Linked DNA regions of Rattus norvegicus. Each later gene encodes a partner of the first gene's protein in a complex. Links are inferred from orthologs where the notes say so. Each region holds a gene or a part of one and is shown in the gene's direction. Other genes may lie near its edges.

The links.
Region 2: Tmem216 (region 1) and Tmem67 share a complex: the UniProt entries of both Homo sapiens proteins name them as parts of the tectonic-like complex. The link is inferred for Rattus norvegicus from reciprocal best matches to the Homo sapiens genes TMEM216 and TMEM67.
Region 3: Tmem216 (region 1) and Tmem231 share a complex: the UniProt entries of both Homo sapiens proteins name them as parts of the tectonic-like complex. The link is inferred for Rattus norvegicus from reciprocal best matches to the Homo sapiens genes TMEM216 and TMEM231.
Region 4: Tmem216 (region 1) and Tmem107 share a complex: the UniProt entries of both Homo sapiens proteins name them as parts of the tectonic-like complex. The link is inferred for Rattus norvegicus from reciprocal best matches to the Homo sapiens genes TMEM216 and TMEM107.
Region 5: Tmem216 (region 1) and Cc2d2a share a complex: the UniProt entries of both Homo sapiens proteins name them as parts of the tectonic-like complex. The link is inferred for Rattus norvegicus from reciprocal best matches to the Homo sapiens genes TMEM216 and CC2D2A.
Region 6: Tmem216 (region 1) and Tmem17 share a complex: the UniProt entries of both Homo sapiens proteins name them as parts of the tectonic-like complex. The link is inferred for Rattus norvegicus from reciprocal best matches to the Homo sapiens genes TMEM216 and TMEM17.
Region 7: Tmem216 (region 1) and Ahi1 share a complex: the UniProt entries of both Homo sapiens proteins name them as parts of the tectonic-like complex. The link is inferred for Rattus norvegicus from reciprocal best matches to the Homo sapiens genes TMEM216 and AHI1.

The regions. Positions count from the first base shown.
Region 1 is NC_086019.1:216,623,720-216,627,986, reverse strand, and holds the start of Tmem216 (transmembrane protein 216), read left to right. Parts: upstream 1-1,467; 5' UTR 1,468-1,483; coding exon 1,484-1,496; exon of another isoform or gene 1,497-1,510; intron 1,511-2,051; coding exon 2,052-2,153; intron 2,154-2,553; coding exon 2,554-2,646; intron 2,647-4,267. UniProt on the Homo sapiens protein: Part of the tectonic-like complex which is required for tissue-specific ciliogenesis and may regulate ciliary membrane composition.
Region 2 is NC_086023.1:30,338,167-30,341,666, reverse strand, and holds part of Tmem67 (meckelin precursor), read left to right. Parts: intron 1-649; coding exon 650-730; intron 731-1,202; coding exon 1,203-1,319; intron 1,320-3,500. UniProt on the Homo sapiens protein: Required for ciliary structure and function. Part of the tectonic-like complex which is required for tissue-specific ciliogenesis and may regulate ciliary membrane composition.
Region 3 is NC_086037.1:56,794,173-56,796,515, reverse strand, and holds part of Tmem231 (transmembrane protein 231), read left to right. Parts: intron 1-481; coding exon 482-563; intron 564-1,731; coding exon 1,732-1,837; intron 1,838-2,155; coding exon 2,156-2,333; 3' UTR 2,334-2,343. UniProt on the Homo sapiens protein: Transmembrane component of the tectonic-like complex, a complex localized at the transition zone of primary cilia and acting as a barrier that prevents diffusion of transmembrane proteins between the cilia and plasma membranes.
Region 4 is NC_086028.1:54,269,696-54,273,995, forward strand, and holds Tmem107 (transmembrane protein 107), read left to right. Parts: upstream 1-1,500; 5' UTR 1,501-1,631; coding exon 1,632-1,718; intron 1,719-1,895; coding exon 1,896-1,963; intron 1,964-2,021; coding exon of another isoform or gene 2,022-2,045; coding exon 2,046-2,146; coding exon of another isoform or gene 2,147-2,263; intron 2,264-2,979; coding exon 2,980-3,076; coding exon of another isoform or gene 3,077-3,271; coding exon 3,272-3,341; 3' UTR 3,342-3,825; downstream 3,826-4,300. UniProt on the Homo sapiens protein: Plays a role in cilia formation and embryonic patterning. Requires for normal Sonic hedgehog (Shh) signaling in the neural tube and acts in combination with GLI2 and GLI3 to pattern ventral and intermediate neuronal cell types.
Region 5 is NC_086032.1:71,645,532-71,649,691, reverse strand, and holds the start of Cc2d2a (coiled-coil and C2 domain containing 2A), read left to right. Parts: upstream 1-1,360; 5' UTR 1,361-1,524; intron 1,525-2,588; exon of another isoform or gene 2,589-2,607; intron 2,608-4,160. UniProt on the Homo sapiens protein: Component of the tectonic-like complex, a complex localized at the transition zone of primary cilia and acting as a barrier that prevents diffusion of transmembrane proteins between the cilia and plasma membranes.
Region 6 is NC_086032.1:100,718,233-100,722,471, forward strand, and holds the start of Tmem17 (transmembrane protein 17), read left to right. Parts: upstream 1-1,439; 5' UTR 1,440-1,847; coding exon 1,848-1,947; intron 1,948-3,344; exon of another isoform or gene 3,345-3,419; intron 3,420-4,239. UniProt on the Homo sapiens protein: Transmembrane component of the tectonic-like complex, a complex localized at the transition zone of primary cilia and acting as a barrier that prevents diffusion of transmembrane proteins between the cilia and plasma membranes.
Region 7 is NC_086019.1:17,580,654-17,584,830, forward strand, and holds the start of Ahi1 (jouberin), read left to right. Parts: upstream 1-1,377; 5' UTR 1,378-1,477; intron 1,478-1,837; exon of another isoform or gene 1,838-1,895; intron 1,896-4,177. UniProt on the Homo sapiens protein: Involved in vesicle trafficking and required for ciliogenesis, formation of primary non-motile cilium, and recruitment of RAB8A to the basal body of primary cilium.

The DNA.
Region 1 (4,267 bases):
AGACTATATAATCTGTTGACAATGGATAAACTTTTCACTGTAGCATGAGAGCTATCTGTGTACACAATATGTGTAGGCAGGGTGATTTAAGACCCATAATTTAAAAAAAACAAGCAACTGGTCCACCTTCCTTTGCTCTGAGGTTCAGAGCAGGAGGTGTGTAAAGGTAGCACAGTTGGGGTGCAGGAACCAGGGTTCTTTCCATCACCTCATCTTGCCCTGGTTCTTGATAGTGGGGATTAAAATTCCATTTAGGACCTGCCAGAGCGTTGTGACACCCACTTGAAACTCCAGGACTGGACGGGAAGCAGAGGCAGGAGAATTTGAGGCCTGCCTAGCCTACATAGGGAGATCTGTCTAGTCAAACTAAACCAGACCAGAATAAGCCAGTGAAGGAGGCAGGAAAGCAGAGGTGGAGGTGGGGAGTGATAGAAATAGGCTTCTGCTTAAATTATTCTCTCCAGGTGAGGAATTGCTTTAGGTCTTTTTTTTTTTTTTTTTTTTAAATTTGAGTACACTGTAGCTGTCTTCAGACACACCAGAAGAGGGCATCAGATCCCATTACAGATGGTTGGGAGCCACCATGTGGTTGTTGGGAATTGAATTCAGGACCTCTGGAAGAGCAGGCAGTGCTCTTAACCGCTGAGCCATCTCTCCAGCTGCTTTAGGTCTTTGAGAAGCAACAATTACTGCTTTTATTCACTAGGTAGGGAAATAACACTTTCATTACAGGTTAGTTACTCTCTCCAGTTATTTGTTGTCTGACTGCCATACTCTAAGGGCTGACTGCAGAGTCAACCCATGTCTTTTCAGAAGTCTTACTCTTTTACTCTGCGGCCTGCAACAACACGCTCTTGCTTCGAATTGCGGCCAGGATTCTTAACTCAAGCTTGTTGGAAACATCTCTCAATTTCTACCTGGGCATAAACTGTCTCCCTTCAACACCTTTGCACTTTTTGGGTGGCAGGAGAGCCACGTTATAGCACCGCTGTTTACCACATGTCCTAGAAAGGTCATTCTACCTCCAGTGGTTTTGGTGTTTCCACAGGATTTTGTTGCGTCAATGGGCCCTAGGTAAGCCTTGTGCACAGTGGCATGCCGTGCTGCTTTTTTTTTTTTTTCTAAACTAACACATGGCAGTAGAAAGAGAATGGTGGGCCTGGGGCCGCTCCTCCAAGTATTCGGCCGCACCCGGCCAATGAAGCCCAACACCATGACGCCAGGGGTGGAGAGTTCAGTTCGAGAGCTGTTTGGGTCTCCTGGGCTCTTTCTGCCTTCGTATATAACCTTATCCTCTCCCTAGACCACAGTCCGCTGTTGACCGCGGGCGTTGCTCCGTGCAAGGGCGCGGCCGGTGGGGTAACCATAGAGTAGCACTCGCAGGCAGAGCGGCCAGAAAACCCGGGCGCCTCTGTGCCGCGCTTCCGGCAGCGCTGCATTGCCCCGGGCGCTGCAGCGTACGCAGTTTCCATGGGGACTGAACATGGCGCCGCGAGGTGAGACTCTGGAGGTGTGTGTCTCTGCCCCTTATATCCCACTGGTACCTGCCAGGCCCCTCTCCAGAGCTCTACCTAATCCTCCATTTCTAAAAGTTGGGGTCTTACTCTTCACTTGTCCGAATTGGGCTTGGGTTGCTCAGACCACCCCGAGTGGCTGCATGGATACTCGGATACTGTACTCTTAAAAATTCCAGGCTGGCCCTGCTCTGGGATGGCCCAGTTACGAATCCTCCGGCCTTGGACAGAATTAAGCAAATTTCTGTGCTCCAATGTCCTCTTCAGTAGTGACAGGGTTGAATATCTGAGGTGCCTCTCGGCTGTGATTATAGCTTAATTGTCAGAGAAGTCGACCTTAAAGTGATTCCTGGGAAAGGAGGTTGAAGGCAGTTCCCTTCACATCAACACTCTTAGCAACCAGAAGTTTCTCCCTCATTCACAATAACCTTGTGTTTTCTACAGATTACACAGAATCATTACACAGAACGGGGCAGAGCTCCAGCTGCCCTGTCCATTCTTTGTGTTGCTTTTTTTTTTTTTTTTTTTTTTTCCCAGATAAAAGATTGTCCTCAACCCCTCTGGAAATCCTGTTCTTTCTGAATGGGTGGTACTATGCTACCTATTTCCTGCTGGAGCTCCTTATTTTCCTGTACAAAGGTAAGGCTGGGCCTAACTGGCCTGCTTCAGCAGCCCTTTTCTACTTTAGCCTACTCCAAGAACCTTCTATCTTCTGGCCCCTGCAGCATCTCCACTGCAAGGCAGAAGTCTCTCCAACTAGTGGCTTTGGAATGATCAAGTAGGAAGTCTTTCAGCAAGTCTTGAACTTGAGAAATGTGGGCTTCCCCATCCCTCTTTACTGAAATATTCAGATCTGTGTACCGTTATAATTCAGTCATTTGGGAGTCAGGACTTCTAGACTTAAAGCCTGTGGCTGTAACAATCTATACCTTGCTAACTGATTCATGAGAAGTTAAGACTAGTATCCTTGTCCCTGGATGTGTGGCAGCCTTGTGGGGATGTGGGGGCTGTTTACATACTCTGGCTTTTACACTTGTAGGTCTCCTGCTGCCATACCCAACAGCCAACCTAGTCCTAGATGTGGTGATGCTGCTCCTTTATCTTGGCATTGAAGTAATACGATTGTTTTTTGGTGAGTGTTGTTCAGAAAATATTTCCATTGCTTATGAGACATGCTGGAGCCTGAAACTTGATAACCTAGGCTCACTATCAGAGATTGGGTCTGTGTAATGTATACCATTGATTGCTTCCTCCCTAAGGCTTCAAGCTGCTGCTTTGTATTTTAGGTCAAGATTTACCTGTGTGTTTCTAAGTGAGGCTAGAACTGGCAGTAGCATTTGATCTTAGCTCATTCCTTTCCAGTTGCCTGACTACTACAAGAGTGCCTGCTTCTTCTCCTTGCTTTGTTTGAGAGAGTAAAGCAGTACATTCCTAAAGAACTCTAAGGTTCCCTCCACTTCTCTAAACAAGGATTCCTCTAGAAGCTTTTAAACACCAGAGACACAGAGCAAAACTGCTGATTACTTAGAACATATCATCCCAGTGTTAAGATACAAACCCAAGGGAGAAAAATGGTAAGGGACACTAAGAGTCAGTTCACATATAGAAGACCAAAAACCTTGCTAAGGTGAGCATGGTGGCACATGCCTTTAATCCCAGTACCCACTGACAGAGGCAAGAGGATGGCTATGTGTTCCTAGACATAGTGAGTTCCAGACCAGACAGGGATGTATAAGGAGATCCTAGCTCAAAACAAACAAACAAACAAACAAACAAACAAACAAAAAAACCTGCCAATGTGATCAAACTTAGTAAAGAAAAGCAACAAAAACAAGGGAAAAAAAAGCAAAGAAAAACATGGTAACATTTTTTTCTTTTATATATTGGCAATAGTAAGAAAGATTTATACAGTACAGAATCCATATTTGGCTTTTAGAATACATATTTTTTAATTAAAACATTGTTTTATGTCTATGGATACTTTGCCTGTATGTATGCCTGTATAGTACGTGTATGTCTGGTACCCACAGAGGTCAGAAGAAGGTCTTGGGCTAGAGATGGCTCAGAGGTTTAAAAGGACTTTTAAACCTCCTGCTTTTGCAGGAGGACCCCAGTTTAGTTCCCAGCATTCACATTAGATAACTTACAACTGTCTAATTCCAATTCCAGAGGATCCAATGTTGTCTTCTGGGCTTTGTGGGCACATACAAGCACAAGTAAGAATTAAAAGTTATTTAGAGAGAGAGAGAGAGAGAGAGAGAGAGATAGAGAGAGAGAGAGAGAGAGAGAGAGAGAGAGAGAGAGAGAGAGAGGCGTCAGATCCTCTGGAACTGAAGTTACAGAGTGCTGAGCTGCCATTGAGTAAACCTGGTCCTCAGGAAATCAGCAAGTGCTCTTGACCACCCAGTGCTCCTTCTCTGTAGCCCTAAAGAACAGACATTTTTAATGCACTTAAATTATTTTCCATATGAATTGAAGTTTTAACGTACATATACATTTACATACACACATGTATATTATAGCTATACATATTTTACTTTGTTTATAAATTATGTGTATACATGTGGATATAAACATACATGTGTATACACACAGATACGCAGTTTGGTTTTGGTGTTTTGAAGCAAGGAGACCAGGATGAACTTGAATTCTCAATTCTGACCTTAGCCTCGTGCATGCTGGGATTATAAATGTGTACTTCTATGCCTGGCTCATATGTTGCTTTTTTTGTCTTTTTTCTTTTTTGAAACAGG
Region 2 (3,500 bases), on another chromosome or scaffold:
ACAGTAGCATTCTTAAAACTGCACCTAACATCTAACCTCTTCATAAATGTGCCTAACAGTCAAGCAGGCTTCAGTGTTCACTCCTTTACATTTTAAATCTTAACTGTTAGTATGTTCTGTTCCTTAAGAGTGTGTGTGTGTGTGTGTGTGTGTGTGTGTGTGTGTGTGTGTGTGTGTGTGTGGTGGTGGTGTTTAGTTTAAGGATATACTATAAACAAGGTGCTATGGAGTCTCTAATCCATCCTTAGGTTAAGCATGCCTTATGTAATAGACACTGTTGAATCTGTGTGAAAGCCCTAACACTTACAAGAGCTAACTAGACTATGACAAATGCTATGAAGATACCTGACAGCGATGTGAGGTAGTTAACAAAGAAGAGTAGAGGTTAGGATTGGAGAGTGGTGGGGAGGGCTCCAAATATGGCACTTTTCAAAATGGTCACTCAGGAACTCTTGACATAATTCCAAATCTCACCGCCTTAGGGGATAGACTCAGAACAGATAAATGGGATTTTATCCCATGGGAACCTTTAGAGGCCACTGTGTTCTTGGTTGGAACGTCTGTTTTCTTAAAATAGTCCACTGCGGTTATTAAGGACGGTGGACTTCCCGAAGGAGGCAGCATGCGTGACTATGCCTTGCTGTTTCAGGCTGTTTTCTTTGCTGCCTTTTATGAGAGATTCATAGAAGACAAAATCCGGCAGTTCGTTGACCTGTGCTCCATGAGTAACGTGAGTACTCTCTAAGATCATCTTGCGACTGTCACTTTCCACTTTGGAAAGACAGGTATGTGTAGAGAAGCATTAAAACGTGCCCGTACATCTCACCGAGCAGCTCTACAGCAGTTTAATAAGTTGGCTTGTGATGATCGGATTGCCCATCTAATTTTCAACCAGCTATTAATTTGAAGAATAGATATATTCTTCCACAAGTTAATACTCTTGCCTTACCTTTTTTCTTCTTTATCTGCAGTTCTTAATTATGAATAATTAATTAGTGATTCATTCATCCTGCAGCCCCTGATTTTTTTTCACACATTCTTAGAAAACAGCTCTAGCCTTCTTTCCACTAACTTTATACACAACAAACAACATTGTTTCCTTGCTAATCGTTATTTTGGGTAAAAGGTAGCCATTTTAACAAAAGCTTACTTGGCCGTTATGGAGAAGTCCCTGATCGCCTCTTTTCCCGCGCTCTCTGCAGGTGTCAGTGTTCCTGCTGTCCCACAGATGTTTTGGATATTACATTCACGGCAGGTCAGTCCACGGCCATGCGGACACCAACATGGAGGACATGAACATGAACCTGAGGCGAGAGGCGGTAAGAACGTAGTCCTCACGAATGACTTTGGAAAGTCGCAGGGCTGCCAAGTAATGACCTGAGTACGAATGGAGCCCGGGTTTGTCTGCAGTCTCCATGGATTTCAGAGTAATCAAGTGCGCCAGGAAAGTTCTTCCTCCTCTGCAGGGAGAGAGGGAGGATGTTTGAGTTAGGGGAGCACCAGTGCACTGAGACTAATGGGTGGAAAGACAGACTGCAGTCATCAGTGGTTCTTAAACAAGAGCGTGTCAATGGCAGCTCTAGCGAAGGGTCAGGCTCACGGGATCCGGACACAGAGACTCCTTTCAGTCAGTTAAAAATGAAGCAAGCCGACACTGCACTTCCTGCTGTGCTGGGAAGACCGAGCCTGAAGACAATCAAATCTCTAGTTTAACCACGGTTTTATAGGAAGAACAGAGTCCAGAGGAGCAACCGAGACAGAGCTGATAGAAGTCCTTAGCACATCCAATGTGCAGCGCACCACAGAGCACATGGCTGACTGTCTGTAACAAACCAACGGCGTTAAAGGAGAGGAGGGCTGATGGTGGGGTAGAGGAGATCCTGCTTGAGGGACACTAGGAAACAGGGCAGCGAAGCTTAAGATACCGAGAAAGTCTGACATAATCATTCGCTGTTCTATTAAGTGATTAATTTTGTTAGTTATAAAAATGACAGTGGCGGTTGTTTCATTAAATCCTTATTAGAGAATCACAAGTGAAATGACAGGATCTTAAGTCTACAGTAAAATACCCTAAATAAAAGAAACCTGGGGAGATAAATGAAACAAAGATTGGCTAAAGGTTGATGATACTGAGACCCGAGCAAGGACACCCCAAAAAAGAACAAGGGGTGCTAAGAAGAAAGCCTTAGGGGTTCACTGAGCCCATATCTGCGACTTGGAGAATTGAGGAGCTAAACCCTCCCTTAGCTCTTAGACGCGACTGTGGGTTGAAAGGTTACCTGTAATAATTTAAGCCGTAAGCCCCTGGGAACAAAGATGACAACCGAGGAGTGCCATCAAAAGTGTACCCTTTGGAAAGCCTCAGGACGTGAGTAGTAATTCAGTTTAGTTTACTATCATAGGACATATATGTCAGTCACAATTACAAGATAGCAAATTAGGGTAAAGTGCATATAACTAATATGTCAGCGATATTGATATCTAAAACCATGGTGCTCCGTCTTCAACTTGCCATACTTCTGTGAAGCTAATGGTTAATAAAATGTGAACCGTAAGACAGGTGTTATCAGGAAGGTTTTTACAACTGGAAAATGTTTTGAGTAGTAAACGTCAGGAGATTCTTGGGACTCTCTAGTCTTAGACTGCTTATGTGAATTTTAACCCAAGGAAAATTCTTAGAGTCTAGATTTTTCCACAGGAAGAAAGCATGCAAACGTTTGAGAGGATTGTGTAGGCTGGTTTACCTTTACAATTAAACCTCTGAAGTTAGTGCTTAACTATTTTATATTAAAGATGGGAGTCCACTGTCCTCATGTCAGACAATGAGGACCTTCAGTGGCAATGACTTTGAAGGGGACAAGGAGGAGGATGCAGGCATAAATGTCTTGGAAAATGCCCAGCAGGACTAGGGAGCAACTGAAAGTCAGTGAGAGTCACTACTCCACACATGATCAAGTACTAGCAAGCCAGTGGGTGCTGGGTCCCCAGCCCTCCAGCTCTCCGAGTGTGCCCCGGGGATGGTGAAGCCTGAGCGGAAGGAGACCCTCGCAGTGAAGGAGCTCAAGGCCCAGAGGATTCCTGGCGTTGTCGGCTACCGACCAGATGGAAGCTACGAAGACTGGGGTCATCAGAACCGACTGAGCAGAGATATCAGACTGTGCCTGGCTGATTTTCCTATGCTGCCACTTTTTATATATAAATAAAAGTCATCCTTTCTACCTCCCCAAATGACTATGTATGTATGGAAAATTGCTCGGGATATGATGTTTAACAAAAAAAAAAGTGTAATTCCGAGTGTTGTCATTGTTGTTGTTGTTCTGTGTATGTTTGTGACTTAGAAAAGAGCTGGAAATGATGTGCTTTAATATATCCAGTCCAGATATTGAAATTTATAGCTGATCTTTTCTTGGTTCCTCTTCATAGTTTATGCATTCTTCATTCCCCACAATTTCCTATACTTTGTTAATTTAAATTTTTATTCAAAATAGAGAATCTCATAT
Region 3 (2,343 bases), on another chromosome or scaffold:
TCTCTCTTTCTCTCTCTCTCTCTCTCTCTCTCTCTCTCTCTCTCTCTCTCTCTCTGTGTGTGTGTGTGTGTGTGTGTGTGTGTGTACTCAAAAATGATTATTACAGAAAGTTTATTCATCCCCAAAGAAAAGATTACTGAACCGGGGCTGGTGAGATGTTCTATTCCCGGCATCCACATAAGGTCACTTACAACCACCTGTAACTCTAACTCCAGACTCCAGGGTGACCCAATGCCTCCGGCCTCTATGGGCACGTGTGCTCACATGTACATGTTACCCCCACCCTCTGACACACTCACATTCGCACACAAGTATGAATAATAAAAATAGAACTCTACAGAAATAATTCTGAACCAGGGCTGGGTCACAAGCACAAGAGCGTGGTCTCTGGGCCAGGGTGGCCTCAGGATTGAGGCTGGGTGGGCTGCTGCGTGGGAAGGAGAGCGAAGTGCTCACAGTGTGTCCTCCTGCCTCGCCCCAGGTATCGGTGATCAATGGGACCAGTCCTTTTGCCCATGACTACGACCTGACTCACATTGTCGCTGCCTATCAGGAAAGGAATGGTGAGTTGCTGGACCCCTGTCCACAGGCTGCCCGGGCTTGCCGGAACTTGTCCTCTGTCCACTGTCCACACCCTTCCCCACAAGCCACCTCTCCCGTAGCCCAGCATATCAGCAATCACTCGCTTTATTTATCCTGTCACTGGCTTGGCTGCTTTGCTCTCATTAGTGTGTATTGGTTTGAGTGAGTTGTCTCTCATAGTACACCTGTAAGAGAAGTCAGGGCCGTTTACTGTCCTCACTTTCCAGACAGCGATGGGTGATGCGTGTCAGGCAGTCCGCAATGGTAGGCTGGTAGAAGGGAGGCACCGGCAGAACTGACTATAGGTAGCGTTCGTCCCTAGAGGAGTGTCCCCAGGCTTGAGTCAGCACACCAGGCTGGTTTGTGGTCTAACATTTTCCCTAAAGGCATCAAAAGTGTTTCTGGCAACACGACATTATGGGTGACAGCCACAAACGTTTCACAAGTGGAGGGCTTTTAATTCCAGTATTTCTTTTTAATTTTATGCAGTACAATAGCAGCAATACAATTCCTAAAACTAAATCTGACAACTGCTGGCCCCAAGATCAACTCTTTCCTCTTTAATTCATTCACTCTTTGTCCATATATAAATAGTTTCATACAACTTTCACTCTTCGGGGCTGAGAGCTCGAGCTCTTGCTTAGCATAGATCGGGTACAATTCCCCCGATTCAGTCACCAGTGCCACATAAAGCTTGGTAGCACACACACACACACACACACACATAGCCCCAGCCCTCAGGAGATGGAGACGAGAGTAATCAGAAATTCAAGCTCATCCTTGGTAATATAGCAAGTTGGAGACCAGTGAGCTACATGAGAAGAGAGAGAGAGAGAGAGAGAGAGAGAGAGAGAGAGAGAGAGAGAGAAACAGAGACAGAGACAGAGACAGAGAGACAGAGAGAGAAGAAAGGAGTCAATGAGATGGTTCAGTGGGTGGATAAGAGCATTTTCCATTAAGCCTGATGACCTGAGTTCTATCCTTGGGGTTCACATGGTGGAGGGAGAGAATTGGTACACCTGCACACACACACACACACACACACAAGCATGCAAATAGATCTTAGAAACAGAAAAGACTTTGGGATCTGTACTCAAAGACTACTTATAGCCCTTCGCTTTGAATTAATGACTAATGTTTGCCTTGCAGTTACCACTGTCCTCAGTGACCCCAACCCAATCTGGCTGGTGGGCCGGGCCGCTGAAGCTCCTTTTGTGATCGATGCTGTCATCCGCTATCCCGTGGAAGTCATTTCATATCCTTTCTGTTAGCCGGGTTCCACTAGGAAAGAAGAGCTTCCTTAGTTTAGTTACCCCAAGTAGGAACAGATGTGGGACTCACAAGATAGGAAATTGCCACAGCTCTTTAGCCCCATACAAATGACTGCTGCTCCTACAGCAAAGAAAAATCAATTTCCTGTGCCTCTTTCTTTCTAAACATTTCTGAGTCAGAATTATCCATGTTTATATCTTAATAATCTCTGGAGAGTATTTGAAGTATTCTGTTTCCCATCTGACCTGAGCTTTGGGGTAGCTGTTCCTTACTCGTGGCTGCTGTTCCTTAGCATTTGTACTTATCAGCCAGGGTTCTGGGAGATGATAAAGTTTGCCTGGATCCAGTATGTCAGCATCCTGCTCATCTTCCTCTGGGTGTTTGAAAGAATCAAAATCTTCGTGTTTCAGAACCAAGTAGTGACCTCCATCCCTGTAGCCGTGCCCCAGGGAGAGATAAGGAAAGAGCACTTATCCTGAGAAGCTTCTG
Region 4 (4,300 bases), on another chromosome or scaffold:
GTGTGTCTGAGGACAGCTACAGTGTATTCATATATAATAAATAAAAAATTAAAAAAATCTACGTTGTTGTTATTTAAGTTACAAATACTATACTGTTTGTCAAACATTCCACCAGTCTTTTATAATGAAAGTGTGAGTGTGTGTGTGGGTGGGGGGTGTCTTTTGTCTGGTTTGGGATCTCATGTTAGGTTAGGTTTATCCCCCACTCAGTGGGAAGAACTCCAGCCTGTCTTTCATGACCTTTAAGTAAAAAACGTTGACTCTGCATTCTAAATGTTTTTACTCACTGGTTTAGGTAAGGGGACCCCATGTATTACTTTAGGGAGACAGAAACATTTCCTCTCTCTCTCCCCCTCCCCCCAATTCCTTGAAACGAAAATTTAGGAATTATCTATTTCAAAACTTTCCTTTGATATTATTCTAGTGTCACCCTTTAAAGTTTTTAAATTTACAGCATACATTACCTTGCAGGGTTTTGTTGGGGTTTTGTGTGTGTGTGTGTGTGTGTGTGTGTGTGTATTTGTTTGTTTTGTTTTGTTTGTTTGTTTTGTTATCAGTCTCTCTGCCTAGAATATAAACTGGAGGGACTTTATCGATGTATTCTGAGTCAAGCACAGTGCCTGGCATCTGGGAGACATCAGATATTTGTTGAATGAATGAAATCCCTCTGGGTCTTGTCTTTTAGGCTGGTTTAGAGGCACACACACACACACACACACACACACACACACACACACACACACAGAGAAATGAGAGAAGAGGGGGTGCAAAAGGAGGAGGTTCATTGTCAATGGGACTTGATTGTGAACTGGGATGGTAGTGAGAACTTTCCGATCGCAGGCATTTCATCCGAAGCCCCAAATCAGTCACATCACCCTAAGAAGAGGTTCTGGGTCTGTAACTGAGCAATGTCCGCGGCCTGGCAACTCAAAGCGAGAGTGAAATCGGTGGTGAATCAGCCTGGTTTAAGCCTCCCAGGGGCGCACAAGCTGTTCTAGTCCCCCACTCCATTCTTCACCTTTTCAGATCCCTTGGGATCCCGAGGAGGCTGTCACCTCATCCACCCACATCCTATTCTACCCATTCCAAGGTTGCTCATTTCTGCACTCGGCAAATCTTTCATGAAACCGAGACAAGTTATTTAGGGAGAAATTAGAGTCGTTCATCGGCAGAGGTTTGGTCTTGGGTGGGAGAGGGAGCCCTCTGACAACCAGGGGCTGTGGGGGGGGGGCGGGGAGGGCTTGGCGAGACTGTGGGGCAAAGCTCGGTGCTGAAGCTCTACTCCTTCGTTCCCTCATCTCCTGGCGCCCAAGGCAGTGAGTGGGAAGCACAGGAAAAGGGAGGATTTGGTGGTTACGGGTGCATCCTCCCGGATTCATCCCACAAGCACCAGGAGGTGAGCATCGGCTCGGGTACCTGGCCTATAGACATCTGCAGAGGGCGCAGCACTATCGCGAGACTTCCGGAGGCAGCTGCATGGCGCCTGAGGACGCAGTTACCATGGCAACCGGGCGGCGCCTGAGCACGCGGGAAGGAGGCTTAAGTAGAGAGGTCTGGCCTGCTTGCTCTGGGAGACTTGATGAGTGACCCTCCTCAGACTTCTACGGCCTCCGCTTTGGGCCCCCGAGGCCATGGGTCGGATCTCCGGGCTCGTGCCCTCTCGATTCCTGACGCTCTTGGCTCATCTGGTGATTGTCATCACTTTGTTCTGGTCCCGGGTAAGACGTGGACAGGGCGCGCGCGCGTGTCTTCTTGTCCCTCCCATTCTCACCTTAGAGTGGACCCAGCTCAGCTCAGTCCACTCCCACAGACCCACACTGGGTCCGTTGCTCCCGTCCCCCGCAACCCCATCCCTCTTTTGACATTTCTTTCTTTCTTTCTGCCCGGCTCACCAGGAAAGCAACATCCAGGCTTGCCTGCCTCTCAAGTTCACCCCGGAGGAATATGAGAAGCAGGACAACCAGTGAGCTCTTGGGGCGGGGTGAGAGTGCCAGGGTCTTCTACGCAATCCGGAAACCCAGGTCCATCACCCTTTCTCTCTGCAGACTGGTAGCAGCGCTCTGCCTCACCCTGGGCCTCTTTGCAGTGGAGCTGGCTGGCTTCCTCTCAGGAGTCTCCATGTTTAATAGCACCCAGAGCCTCCTCTGTATCCTTTCTGCCTGGCCAGCGTCCCCATGCGACATCATCACCACTCACTCTTTCCACTTCTGTAGGCCTTTTGGGCACAAGTCTCTGCCCTACGTGGCAAAGCGAATCTCTCTAGGTGAGAGGTTTTAGACAGTTTTGGGGAATTAATAGACTTCAAACCTTAAACCCTGATGTGAGCCAGGTTCTGGCGATCCATGAGTGGGAGTAAAACCACTTTATCCTGTTTGAGGAAGAGATGGATAAACATCTGTAAATCAGTGTGATTAAACAGTATTCTGTAGGAGTGTGCAAAATACAAACCATTGTGGGAACTCAAAAGGGACCAAGAAAATGAGACACATAGGAAGGTTCTCGATACCCGGGTGTGATGTTGCAAACCTTTAATCCTAGCACTAGGGAGGCAGGAGCAGGTGAATCTCTAAGTTCGAAGCCAGCTTGGCCTACATAGTGAGTTCCAAATCAGCCAGGGCTACATAGAGAGACCCTGTTTTTTAAAAAAAAAAAAAAAAAAAAAAAGATAGCCGTTGACTCTGAGTTGTGGACAAGGAGGACCAGAGCACTGGAGAAATTCCCACAGTGTATCAGACCTGTAGGTATTCTTGTGAGGCCTAGGGCATATGTGACATTAACTCCCAAAAGTGTACAGGGAGAGGTCCTATCAAAACAAACTCAGCTCTGGCCTCTTACACATAAGTGTCCACAAATTCAGAAGGCATGGCTGCCAACTCTGGTGTTTGTCTTAAGGGAAGGGAACAAGCTGAGCCCAAGTCCGAGTACTAAAGGGACCCATCACTTACCTATTATTTTCCTTGACTCTGCTGTATTTTTAAGCCATTGCAGCCCACTGTAGCGCGTCTGTGGCCCTATCTTTCTTCATATTCGAGCGATGGGAATGTACCACGTACTGGTACATTTTTGCCTTCTGCAGGTTATTTTGGAATGGAGGGTGGTGGAAAGTCTACCCCAAATCTGAAGGTTTCCCCCACCTAGACCTTTCCTGCACATGTGAAATTGGTAGAGTTTTAAAGAGTCGTACCCATCCGCTAACCCACTCACATATAAGGCTTGGAGGTTTGAGTGTTTGGGTCGGAAGGGGCTCTAAACCCACCCCCTACTTCCACAGCGCTTTTCCAGCTGTCACTGAAACTGCGTTATTCATCGCTGTCTTTGGGCTGAAAAAGAAACCCTTCTGATCACAATCCGATGAAGAGACCAAAGCCGGAAACGTGATGAACTCCCTCCCATTGCTGGAAGAAGAAAGGGAGAGGCTTCAGTTTTCTCTCGCCCTAGTCTTTTGCTCCTCCCAACTGCGTCTAAACAGAAAATGGCAATGTTGGGATAAGATCTCACAAATCTTGGGTTATAATTTTATTAGAGTTTTGTAATAAAATTCATTTTATAATAAGAGCAAGGCTTAGACTATTTGTCAGAAGACCATTGGGTAAATCAAAAGGCTGATGTAAATAAAGGCTTTTTTCTAGCCTTCTGTACGTGAGCTAGTAGCTTATGCTTCTATTTGGATTTTTACGGTACAAAATAGGCGGAAGTGAGTGGGCGGGAATATGTAAATAAGAACCTCACATAGGGCTTCTAATTTGCTGTATGTGAGCGGAGCATTATGGGAGAACTTTGTTTCTCTCTTTCTGCGCCGAATGGAAAAATAAAATATTTCAGGCGACTTGCAAATAGATATTGCTCTTGAGTTGCAATAACTATAAGTCATTGGGTTCGTGCTAAATTGTCATATTCTCACCCTTTCTTTAATATGGAATGTCTTTACTTAATTAGGAATGGGCTCCCTTTGTCCTTTATCGTCAGGAGGTTAATCCTTACCTGTTCCTCCTCTCGGAGGGCAGATAGAAAATGATGATTGGAGCTTGCATGATCTGCTGATTAGCATTTCCGTGTAATCAGGACCTGACAACATCCTGATTGCTCCTATCTGATTCTCTGACGATCATATTTATTTCGCATGTACTGACTGATAGAATTTAGGAATTTTGTCCTGTGCTCCTGAAATTTCTCCTAACACTGGTCAGAGCCATGACTTTAAGGTGCTTTTAGTAATTGTGTATATGACTGACTGATTGCTCAGACCTTATTTCTATGACAACAAGTGCCTTGCTGCTGATTGTTTGCCCAGCTTCTAGAA
Region 5 (4,160 bases), on another chromosome or scaffold:
GAATGAATATAATTTGTTTCTTAAGCTGGGGAAATGGCTCAATCAATAAAATGCTTGCCCAGAACAAATACGGAGTTCAGGTCCCCAGCACCCACATAAAAGCCAAGTGTCTACAGATATCTATAATCCTAGCACTGGGGAGGCCAAGACAGGCCTGTCAATGAAACTCATTGGCCAACAGTCTCCGAAAACAGCATTCCCCAAACATCAGGCTCCAAAAGAGACCCTTTACTGGGATTTTTTTCCCCTGTAAGGAAGGCTGTGACAGTGAGTATGCTGATGGGTTTAGAATTAAATAATTTGAATTATTTCAGAATATTCTGGATTATAGAGTTGCCCCCTAACCACCCGACTCCAGAGTGACGTAGAGCAGGGGGACATTACATGGTAATAAAGCAGTAGTTGGAAATGCTAGCTTGGGGTCAGTTAGTATGTATCAAAGAGAATTTACACATTTCTGAGGAGCCATTAGCTAGGAATTAGCTAGCTTCAGAGATGCATATAATGAATGTCAGTGCTTTATGACACAGAAAATAGAGGCTAGGAGGTAGTTCCATTGGTAAAGGGCTTATCACGCAATCGTGAGGACCTGGTTTTGAAGGTGGCTGAAGCTCAGCATGGTGGTCCATGTTTGTTCTGTCAGCACCAGGGAGGCTAAGACAAGCAGGAATCTGGAGCTAGGCAGGCAGCCTAGCCTAATCACCAAATGCCAGCTTCCAGTGAGAGACCTTATCTAAGAAACAAAATGGCAGGCTTCTGAGGAACAGCACGTGAGGTTAGGAGGCCATGGTCAGTGGAGTTCCTTGATCTGTGGCTGTCCTTGGTCCGCAGAGGCTCTCGGTCTGCTCGTTACTTTTCTCTCTCCTCGGCCTTTTCTCCTATTTTCTTGCCTTTTTTGAGCCATCATGTTTGTATCCCTGCTGAGTCATGTGTAGTAAAGAATTGGAGAATAAACAGAGCATAGGTTTGTGCGGTCCAGCTTCTGTGCACAGCCAGCAAACATGGAGCTCTGATGCCCGGCCACAGAGTCTTTGCTGGTGATGATTAAACATCTCTTCCACATAACATGGCCCCTCCTGATTCTAAATCACTACTCATGAACACCTTCTGTCCTTTGCCCAACATGCCGTGCAACCCAGAGACACGAGGCAGGGTACTATGCTTCCGAGCCTGAGTCCTCTCTGCTCAACTGCCCAGTTGCTTTCCCTTTGTCTCTTCTCAGCACGTTATTTTTCTCTGCTTGCCAAGCAAGCTCATATTTCAAGACTGAAAAGTAAACTGTCACTTTAAAAGGAAAAAAAAGCAGCCGCCTAGTGACCTTCCCTGGGAACTGGTTGCTAAGCTGGTGTTTTTTTTTTTCCCTGAGACATGGCTGCAGCTTCTCAGGGAACAACCTCCCTTACCCCAGCCCACCCCTTCGCTCATTTCTAAAAGATTCTCTAGCTTGACACAACTGGTCTCTCATCTCGTCCCTCCATCCCAGAGAGTGGAATCTGCAAACTTCGTTTTGTAGAGTGGATTAAGGTAAATCGGTTTTTTAAAAGAAACAGGGCTGCAGAGTGTACTGCTTTCACCTCCTTTCCTTCCGGCTTGGAAAGCAGCCCCTCCCTGTGCCATGAGAGTAGACCGAACGCTTTAACATTAGGGACTCTCAGCTCAGCTCGCTTGCAGTTTTACTCTCTGAATGCAAAGTGGGGGGTGGGGCACTGCAGAGACAGCTTTGGTTTCAGCTGCGGTTTGGTCTCTGGCTTGCAGAAGTGCAAACCGATTGGTTCACAGAGAACCTCGCTGGCCAGTGTGCTGCCAACCGCTAGCTCCATGTTGCTTTTTGGCCCTTCAGTTTAAAATGCTCCAAGGAAGAGGAGGGCGGGCTGGAGGGAGTGCTTGGTGCTGCAAACTTCACTTTTCTTGGTATTGGACAAAGAGCTAGGAACCACAGGCCACCAAGCTCCCAGAAAAGTCTACTAGCCATCAGCTGAACTGATTGTTTTCTTTTTTGCAAATGGGTGCTAAGAAAAGCTAATAAAGTCTAATGAGAAATACATGTCTGCTATTGCAAACGTTTCTACAAATAAATGTAACGACAGTATGTTATATGTAGAGGGGGGACTGTATATGGATAGAGGGAAAATGTGTATATATATATAAATAGTTGACCTAGAGTTCACTTACAGAGTTTTTTATTGAGCATCAATAATACGGCAGACAATGAACTCAGGTTTACAGTGTACAAAAACGATGCAGACCAGGTCCAATGCTGAGAAGCATTGGGGAAGCAGATGTATAAACAGATAAGGAGTGCACATGAGATTAGCACCAAGAGGGATTTGTAAAAAGGTCTAAAGAGCTCTACGCACAGCAGGACTCCTGCCACAGCCCCCCTGAGCAACTGAGCAATCCCACTGAGCAGAGCCTGCCCTCAACAAGTGAAAGGTGTCCCCTCCATCTGATTAAATGACCACACACAGCTGTGTCACTCACCTTGAACTCTAGAAGCCGGGGCTAAAATAACTTGCCGTTACATAATTAATCACAGCTCCTGAGAGTTCCCAGCTTTGAGTGGGCCCTCCCACTGGAAAGGAAAAGCCTCCTCTCTGAAGAGAAAAAGTGAGTATGGTAGAGGGGAGGAGGTTCCAGCAACACTTTAAACAGACAAGGAAAGGCCTTGTCCTGGGCATGGCTGGAGGAAGGGGAGAAGAGACTTGCTTAGGGCTGTGAGGGGTGGGAATAAAAACTAAAGAGAGTAAGGGTGCACAACCCCCTAAGGTGTTTTTTATGATTCTCTTCCTCTCTGAACCGATGTTTCCCCTCTTGATCCCTTCCCCCCAACTGTGACCTCTTATGACCGTTCTTGTTGGAAAAAAGATACTCCAAAGAAACATTTGTGCCTCTCCTTCTGCTATCAGACTATTAAGACAATTAACTCTAAAAATTGTATTTTCTCAGTACCAAGTGCTGGGAGAAGGAAAAGATTGGCTCCAAGTACCAACGTGGAGAATGACTACTCTCCAAAAAAGAGTTCTGACAGCTTGTCAGTGACCTTGCATAAGATACTGGGACAGAGACAATGATGTGTCAGTGATGGAAGGACCACACCTTGACCAAAACTGCTTAGTTATATATCCCTCCTGGTACCTTTTATTCAGACCTAAATTTCACATCAGGACCCAGGAAGACAGACTTTGACATCACTGGACACCTATGTTCCACTTCCCAAAGTCACCATATTATCTCTGACTTGTCCATTATTTTTCTCTTTTGTTGCCCTACTGTGGCCGAGCCTATCTTGTTAGAGTTGCCAACGGTTCTGACCCTAACCCTGGCAACATCTATAATAATAAACCCTACCAGTACAGTGAGCCTGGTCTGTGACAGTCACTTTATTGCAATATTTTCAGTACAGAGCCCATAAGAAACCATCGTCACCTGAGGTAGGAAGTATGATTATGAGTTTACAGAATCGGCTGTGTTATTTCAAGATCACACAGCTGGCAAGATGGGAATTTGAACCCAGGACCATGTTTTTTTTTTTTTCAAACGCCTCACTCTTTAAAGCCATAATTTCTTTGATAATTAATACACCATCCTTAGGAGCAGCATCAATTAAGTGCTTTATATACTACAGCCTTTTTCTCTCAGTTCTTCTCTGTATCTGCTGGGTCATCCCTGGGTTCTTGGATGTGACTATGACAGCTGACTTTAGAGATAGGTCCGTGTGGTCAGATAGCAGTGTCGGTACTTTCCGTTAAAAATGTGTTGTTTTTCTGTCCAATGTAAAACAGATTATTGGCCTTGTGTCGCCTGTGTAATGAGGACACTGCTATAGTGTTTGTGGCTTTCCATTGTAAGTATTTCCACACTAAGGATAGTTTAGAAGAGTGATGGTAAACGTGCTTTAGCAAGACTAAAGTGGGACCAGGGGGAACTTTGGGGCCCCGAAGCTCAGAGGGCAGACTGAGCTTGAGATTTAAAGACTGTGACCTCACATAACTTTGGAAATCTTGGTTTGCTTGGGTCGAAGTTGGCATGCGTCCTACTGAGACCTGCTATGCGTGGGTGAGGAGAACTCATGTGTGGAGGGAACGCAAAGCTCCAGTTCTACACGCCCAGGGCTCCTATTCTGACACTGTCACAGAGTGTATTAACAAGTGAGCATGGCA
Region 6 (4,239 bases), on another chromosome or scaffold:
TTCCATTTCTTCCTCTTGACATTCATGTATGTGAATTTTCCTTTTGACTGTGTGACCTAAAGCTTCTTGGGAAAAACACGCCTTTATTAAAGATTCCGAGCTTCTGTAATTGTTGGTTAGAATGTTACAGATCAAAGGACGAAATTATCTTAGGCTCTCTTCAGTCCTCTTGATATCCATTTACCACTTGCCTCTGTATCTGATCATTCCATTCAGAAAACACCTTTGGAATCTGTTAGGTTAGCCGATTGTGGCTTTCACCAATCCACCAACCCAAAGCTATTATACCCTCATACAGCATTTGAGACCTATGGCAAAGGTGTCCCTGCCTTGCTGTGACCTGCCTACCTGGTGTCCTCACTAATGGATTTAGTAGACGCATTGATTTATGGCTATCTTGCACCCTCTAGTAATACAAATTCATATTGCCACTTTGATGGCGGAACAGATTACCTGGATAACCTGAATCTATCTTTCCCGCTTTGGGGACTCATAGTTAGCTCAGAATAAATCCTTTCTCACTCCCTTTGGGAACGAGGTTTCTGATGGAGTTACAGACGTGAGCCACCATGTGGGTAAAGGGAAATGAACCGGGGTCCTCTGCAAGAGCAGTGAGTGTTGGTAACCGCTGAGACATCTGCAGACCCACCGCCCTTCACCAGAAAGATGAAAAGGTTAGGGTGGAATATAAGCCCACACTCATGAAATAACAGGGACGTTCAAATATAGCTGGAGGTGGGAGAGTCTGATGAAACCTCTTTGGGAATGTGTTCGTAGATCCCAATAAAATCGGTCTTACACACCACTCCACTCAGCACTTCTCCGGCACACTCTCAACATAAACGTGAATGTTACACTTGACAAAAAGGTGTATGTTATACTCAACATAAACATATGCTTACCAACAAGCATTTTCACCAACAGTGGCACCTGTCATAACTGCTCCTACGTAGAAACTACACAGAAACTTATCAACATAGACAAACTTGGTGTGATCATAAAATAAAAAGAAGATTCATACAAATGTTGACATCAAAGTCAGATTTTCTTTTTAAACTTCAGTGTGCGATTAGTGTACTATAAAGTTGCTTCATAAGCAACTGAGAAAACGTAGCTCCTGGAGATGCTGATACGGTTGACTGACTTGGGTGCTGGTACATCCGATTGTGCTTTTCTTTATATGGCTATTACGGTTTGTTCTGGGTTTTAAGGATTTTGCAATGTAGTCCAGGCTAGCCTGATCTCCTGTCTCTGCCTGAGTGCTAAAATGATACATCTTAAGGGAGAGCAGGGAACGGCTGATGTTTTTAGTTTTTAAGTCACCCATATTCCAGAAACAACTGCTCTCAATACTTTTGAGTTATTTTCCTGTCTTCTGAAGCAGGTTTGCTTGTCTCATCCACCCTGGCCTTACTCCAGATTTTATGTACCGATAGAAAGGAACCTACTGGGTCAAGCGCATTCTTTAAGATTTATGTTTCTTTTCCATTTCCCTCTAGAAATGGCGCACCAATTTTACGGAAAAACTGCCTTGGTGTGAGAGCTCCTTGTGGCTCAGCTCAGGACCAAATGGCTTATTACTTGTGATCATCTTAAGACGCTGCAGCTTTAAAGCAAGACGGAGGAACCCTCCATTTTCAGCAGCACTAGGCCACATTCGGCAGCGGGCCGGTGGCTCCCGCTCGCCTCTCCGCGGAGAAGGCTCTGGAGGACTCTGTTCCGCGCCGGGCAGCCCAGGAACCAGGTCCCCAGCGGCCAGCACAGCCCTGTTGCCAAGGGAACCGCCACGCGCCGCTGAGCTGGCCCACTAGCGGGAACGTGAGGGGATAGGCCCGGGCAGGCCAGACATGGAGCTGCCGGACCCTGTTCGTCAGCGCTTGAGCAACCTCAGCCTCACCATGTTCGGCGACTCCAGCCGTACCGGGCCAGAGTCCAGTGAGGCCGCGGGTGAGTGGCAAGGGGCCCCACGCGGAGGTGTGGTTCGCGGGCGGGCGGCCGCATAGGCCGTGCCCGGGTCAAAGATGGCGGCCACGGCTTCAGCCAGGGTACTGTCCTGGGTTAGGAGACCGCGACCCTGTGGCGGACCCGGGAGACCACGAGCTTCAGTAGCCACAGCTACTGCACCCGGTGGCGCTGTCGCCGAGCGGATTGGGAGGCAGAGTGCATAGCAGGAACGCCTTCTCCCACAAGCCGGTCCCCGCTACGTGAAAGCAGTCCGCTCGCAGGCCAGGGTGGGGAAGAGGCTTCCCGCTCCCACCCTGCACAAAACCGGGCTGTGTCCAAACTCCTAGCAGAGCAAGCACGTTCCTCACCAGCCACTGGCAGCGGCCAAGCTAACATGGCCTTCCTCTGCCTGTTCCTTTCTCCCTGTATAAAAAACTCTCTCCCTCAATCTAATAACGAAATACCACCGAGTTGACCCCAGTTTCTGCCTCCTCAATCAGGACGACAGCGTACATGATTTTCACCTTTGAACTCAAGAAAGTGGAAATCCGTCTTGATTTGGGCTTTTTTTATTTTTATTTTTTAAAGGGGGTATTGGAAAACAAAGCCACTTCTCATCATTGCATTTTGTCACCTTGGTCATTTGTGTAATTTAGGTTATGTAGGGGAAAACCTGAAAAAAATTAGGATTTTATGTTTCTGATTTAAAGTGCGAGCCTTACCGTGCAGAGCCTCAACAACCTAGATAGTAGCAAGGCTGACTATGCATTTACTCCCAGCACTCAGTGGGCAGAGGCCAGCCTAGTCTTCAGATCAAGTTCCAGGACAGCCAGGGCTATACAAAGAAACCCTGCCTTGGGGGAAAAAAAGTCATTCCTATATTTGGGATAATTTAGGATAGTTTAAGAAATCAAAGCAAGAAAAACAGACCACAATAGTCAGCCTTGCTCTTAAAACTTAGTTTCCTTCTAGAGACCATGATTTTTTTTTCATTAATTTGTTTTATTTTATGTGCATTGGCTTTTATGCTTGTGTGCCTGCATGTACACCTGTGTTACAGACAATTGTGAACTGCCATGTGGTTGCTGAGAATTGAACACAGGTCCTCTGGTTAGAGCAGTCAGTGCTCTTAACAACTGAGCCATCTCTCCAGTCCCCTACCCCATGATTGTTTTAAAAGTATTAACCGTCAATTAAAAAAAACTATGCAGAGAAAAACAAAAATCAGTTTCAGTGGAAATTCTCATTATCTTCCTAAATTCTTACATTTAGAACAACCAATTTAAAATAAGAATGTAGTTAAATTATAATGTATTTTAGGGCTCAATTTTTATAATCAAATTCTTGTTGAAGGACCTTTTGTTTTCTTTTTTTTTCTCTCTCTCTCTCTTTTTTCTTTTTTTCGGAGCTGGGGACCGAACCCAGGGCCTTGTGCTTCCTAGGCAAACGCTCTACCACTGAGCTAAATCCCCGGACCTTTTCTTTTATACAAAAGCAAAAGATGTTGGGTAACCAGTCTAGTAAGTAGAATGTGTGAGTCACAAATGGCCACCTGTATGGCAGCATGCTTTTGAAAATCAGTTCTTTTTGCTTCTACATGGTTGGTATTTGTACGATTCTGAACAGGACATGTTAAGTGAAATCTGTGCTTACACTGAGACAGCATTGTCTCCGTATACAAGGAAGGGCACTGTCTGTGGAGTGCCCACTAAGTGTGATAGGCATAATGGAAAGAGTGGAGTTCCTCACAACAGCCTGTGAGGAGTCATCCCTCCAGAGATGATTAGGGGAATGCCCAGAAAGATGTAATAATGTATCCCAACTCTGGCTCCTAGAGTCTCTGTCTTCTGTCTTACTTAGTCTTTCTAGTGCTGTGAAGATACAACGTAACCAAGGAAAACATTTAATGGGAGCCGGCTTACAGATTCAGAGGTTTAGTCCATTATCATCATGTTAGGAAGCATGGCAGACGTGCTGGAGGAGTAGTTGAGAATTCTACATCCAGATTGGCAGGCAACAGGAAGAGAGAGTGACAGTGGACCTGGCTTGAGCGTCTGAAACCTCAACGCCCAACTCCAGTGACACTTCCTCCTACAAGGCCATGCCTCCTAATAGTGCTGCTCCCTGTATATACGTGTGTGTGTGTGTGTGTGTGTGTGTGTGTGTGTGTGTGCAAGCAGCACTCTTGACCACTGAACCATCTCTCCAGCCCTAACCAGCACTTCTTATATGCAGTTCAGAGAGGAAAATACCTAGAGGGGCAAGATTTCTTTCGGAGTGGGGGAACATAATCAA
Region 7 (4,177 bases), about 200 Mb from region 1:
CAGAAAAGGGTGTAAATTGGCATTGCATACATAATTCAATATTGCATAAAGTTATGTGCAACATACAATTCGATGTTGCTTATTTCATGATGTACGTAATTCAAAAAAAATGTGTAAAACTGAATAAAAGAAGGTAATGAGAGAGTAACCCCAGGGAGAGGGAGCATCCGTATCCATGGCAACGTGATGAGATTGTTCTCGTTTGAAGTAATTTTCAAAAGAGGGTACCAGTAGCGTTACCAGCTTCACATTAATAAGGTTAGTCTGGCACTGTTGGGAAAGAAAATTCGAAGTCAAAACTGGAGTCAGGACACAGGTAGTGAGGCCAGTTCCCGCGTAAGAAAGACTGGCAGGTTGCCTTAGGTAACCGTAATGGATAGGCTTTGCACTAGGGACATTAAAGATAGGTTTGGTAAAACCCTGCAGGGATGGAGGTAGCTTAAATCAAGATAGGTTTAGAGGAGGGGATTTTGAGGGTTTTTTTGAATGACAAACTCAGCAGCTCAACATGCAGGCTTTATATTGGTGACATTTCCCGTGGTCTCCTCATTGCATTTTGAGACCCTGACGAGATGTGTTTTGTTAGGTCTGATACCAGTCAGAACGGAAAAGCTGGCCTCCGGACAATCACGCAATACTGTCGCCATACAAAGGAGCCACAGGTTGTGTGGGAGGGCAGCAGCCGAAAATGGCGTCTGATTCTGAGGGAAATGATGCACCTCGTATTTTTCCACTCTGGGTGACTCACAAGCCCAAGATGGCGCCTGAAGCGGAAGTGAGGGGGCGTTGGAAAGTAAATGTGGCGTAATCCCTTTTCCACACTGTAAACTCGGGCGCCTGAGGATTTGTCTGCAGCAGGGATCCCCATTCACATTTAAAGGCGCGTCTCATTTTGTGGGGTGACGAGTCTTTCTCGGCTGTGCTGCCTCATTCGCTCACTCGCCCATCCATCCATCCATCCATCCATCCATCCATCCATCCATCCATCCATCCATCCATCCATCCACTCGTTCCCGTATCTACGCCGGACGCGTCACCTCCCACCTATGTCCCCCCCCCCCCCACACACACACACACACTCTCCTTCAAGCTCTGAGTGACCGCGCTTTGCCCGCGGCGAGAGCCGACAGGTTTCACTAGCGGGAGACGTGCACTCGGGACTCGCTTCCGGCGCTGAGGGCGGAACTCAGCCTCCGGCCGGGTGCGCGCGCCCGCCGGACCCCGGAAACGCGCTCCGGAGGCTGGGTAGGGGGCGTGGCCGTGGTCAGGCTGGCATCTTCTGCCCGGCGACTCAGTTACCTAGGTAACAGCGGCAGAGGCGGGCCTGACGTCACGGGCGGCGCGCCTCCCGCACTGCGACACTGGGCTGACTGGACAGCGTGCGTGGCCAGCGGTCGAGCGGGTTGAGCTGCTGCTTCCCTAGCCCTTGCCTGGGCGCAGGGAGCCGCTTCGCGTCGTCCGGCTGTCTCTCCTTTCCGTGAGTATCCGGCAGGCGCACTGTAGTGGGGGCCGAGGCCTTCCCTGTCCCTGGGGGGGACGGCGATGAGACTGTCGAAGACCCGGGGATGCGCAAAGGGACTCCCGGAGGCTTTTGGATGCTCGCAAGCGGGCTGCTGGAGGCGGGGGATGCCCGCGAGTGGCCTCTCTTTTGCTTGTCCCGGCTGCCTTGCACAGTGCTCTGACCGACAGACACAGCCTTCGCCTTCCCATCGGGGTTCAGGGGCTTAAATGCCCCTCGAGCTGCTGCGTGTTTCCTTGTAGATTGACAGTCAGGTGCGCAGTGACAGGCTGTCTTCATTACATCTAAGTACAGTAATTGATTACGTTTCAATTGTAGGCTCATCCCAATGCCTAAAGCCCCCCGAAACGGAGGCTATCCGGGAATCTACTAAATGGTAAATTCTGCCTTTATTGTAACTGTGTAAACGTCGTAGAAACGTTTCCTCTGTGATTTTGTTTTGTTTCGTTAAAGCAAAAAGATGCCAGCAAGTATTTCACCTGTTGCGTAACCAATTACTTGCGCTCTCGGGAGAAGAAAAGGGAATATTTAAAAGGATATTTGCAGCAAATTCAAATGCAAAAAGAATTTTTAGCAATATTTACAATATTATTTATTTATGGGACTATGACAGATTTATTGATTGAATTACACAAACATGGCTTTTTGTTCTTTTTCTTTTGTTATGAAAATTTGCTACAGAATCCTTGTCTAAGTGTGCCCACTTCTTTTCTTTTTTTTTTGCATTGATGTGTAAGCACATACTCCATGTTTTTCAGAAGGGGGGAGGAAACGTAATCCAGTTAATTTTTCTGCGCAGTCTCTCTAAGAACCTCCCATGTTTTTGATGGAAAGACTTTTGATGAATATAGTGATGTCTAATACTGTGCATGCTAATTTTTTAAAAAATTGTTTTGTAAAATGACATCTACAAAATTAGGGATGTTTTATTAAATATAATCTAAATACACATTATAAAATTATACAATATAAATTATGGTGATGTCATTAATCAGATATAAGTTACTAATTACTGTGTTTTCTGTAGTATGCATTAACATTAAAATGATTCTTTCGTTGTGATGTTATCATTAAATATTACTGTTTACTCAGTTATACCTCAAAATTTCAAATATTACATCATTAACTATACATTTAATATTTTATTTCTTATCTATTTGTTAAATGGACATAAAGTCATTTTACTGAGCACCTGTGATGTGCATTATTATTTTTTCATTTATCTTGCCCTCCTATCAATATGTAAGTGCTGCTTACTGATGCCACCCACGCATTAAAAAATCCAGGGCCTAATGAAGTTAATACTTCATCCAAAGCCATTTATCAAAATAACAGTACTAGAACCTTTGTTTCAACTGAGAGTCACGAAATCAGCCCTTCAACAATATGTGTGTGTGGTGTACATGGGCACAAGCAACAAACATTTCAAGGACATGAGAATGTGTGCTTATGTGGAGAGGAGGAGGGGACGTGCCTGTGTGTGGAGGGCACACACACACACACACACACACACACACACACACACACACACACACACGCAATCACACCCAGCATCCAATCCAAGCGCGAGAACGCGAGAGCATGTAGGTGGGGGAGGGGATGTGAGGGGTGCGCGTGCACATTCACATGTGTGTATGTGTGTGTCTGTGTGTCGTATGTTCACCCGCACAATTATGTGAGCTCTTCAGCACTCCAGCACGCAAGAACGCACAAGTGTGTGTTTGTGCACTGGATCACGGGCTGCCCGCGGGCACGCCCGCGAGCACGCACACGGGCACGCGCGCAGGCTTGCGCGCACGTACACACATCTGCGTCTGCGCATCGGTTCAGGTTCCCAGCTTCAGGCTTGGTAAAGGCTTACTAGAGGTATTTCACAATACTTGCATTGGGCTTCCTCACAAAGATACATGTTAAAATCAGCAGGGAAACAGCACATGGGGCTCAGCCCATAGGAATCCTATTACAATGGCTGTAGCAGTCCCAACAATGGAGGAACGATCCTCTTTCACCTCCTCGCCAGCATCTGCTGTCACCTGAGTTTTTGATCTTAGCCATTCTGACTGGTGTGAGGTGGAATCTCAGGGTTGTTTTGATTTGCATTTCCCTGATGACTAAGGATGTTGAACATTTCTTTACTTTTTAATAGTCACATGCAGAGGTCTGGTTCGTTTCAGCTCCTTCACTGCCAAATACATGGGGTAGAGACTGCTTCAGCTTCTCTGCCTTCTCCTTGTTTGTGATAACCAGGGAGTGAAGGTACTACTGCAGCGAATTGAATTTCGAATTCTCCTTGTTCTTTTTTATCTTGACAGATTTGGTATCCTTCCGCAGGGCTGTGAGTAGAAGGTCTTTGCTTTCCTCAATTTTCCGAGGCATCTGACCTCAGCACCTGCCCCCCAAAAAACCTCACTGAACATTTTTTTTTGTGCATTTCTTTAGGTGCTTCCTTGCCATTCAATATTCCTCAGCTGAGAATTCTTTGTTTAGCTCTGTACCCCATTTTTAAATAGAATTATTTGGTTCTCTGGAGTCTAACTTCTTGAGTTCTTTGTATATATTAGATATTAGTCCTCTATTGGATGTAGGATTGGTAAAGACCTTTTCCCAATCTGTTGGTTGCCATTTTGTCCTAATGACAGTGTCCTTTGCCTTATAGAA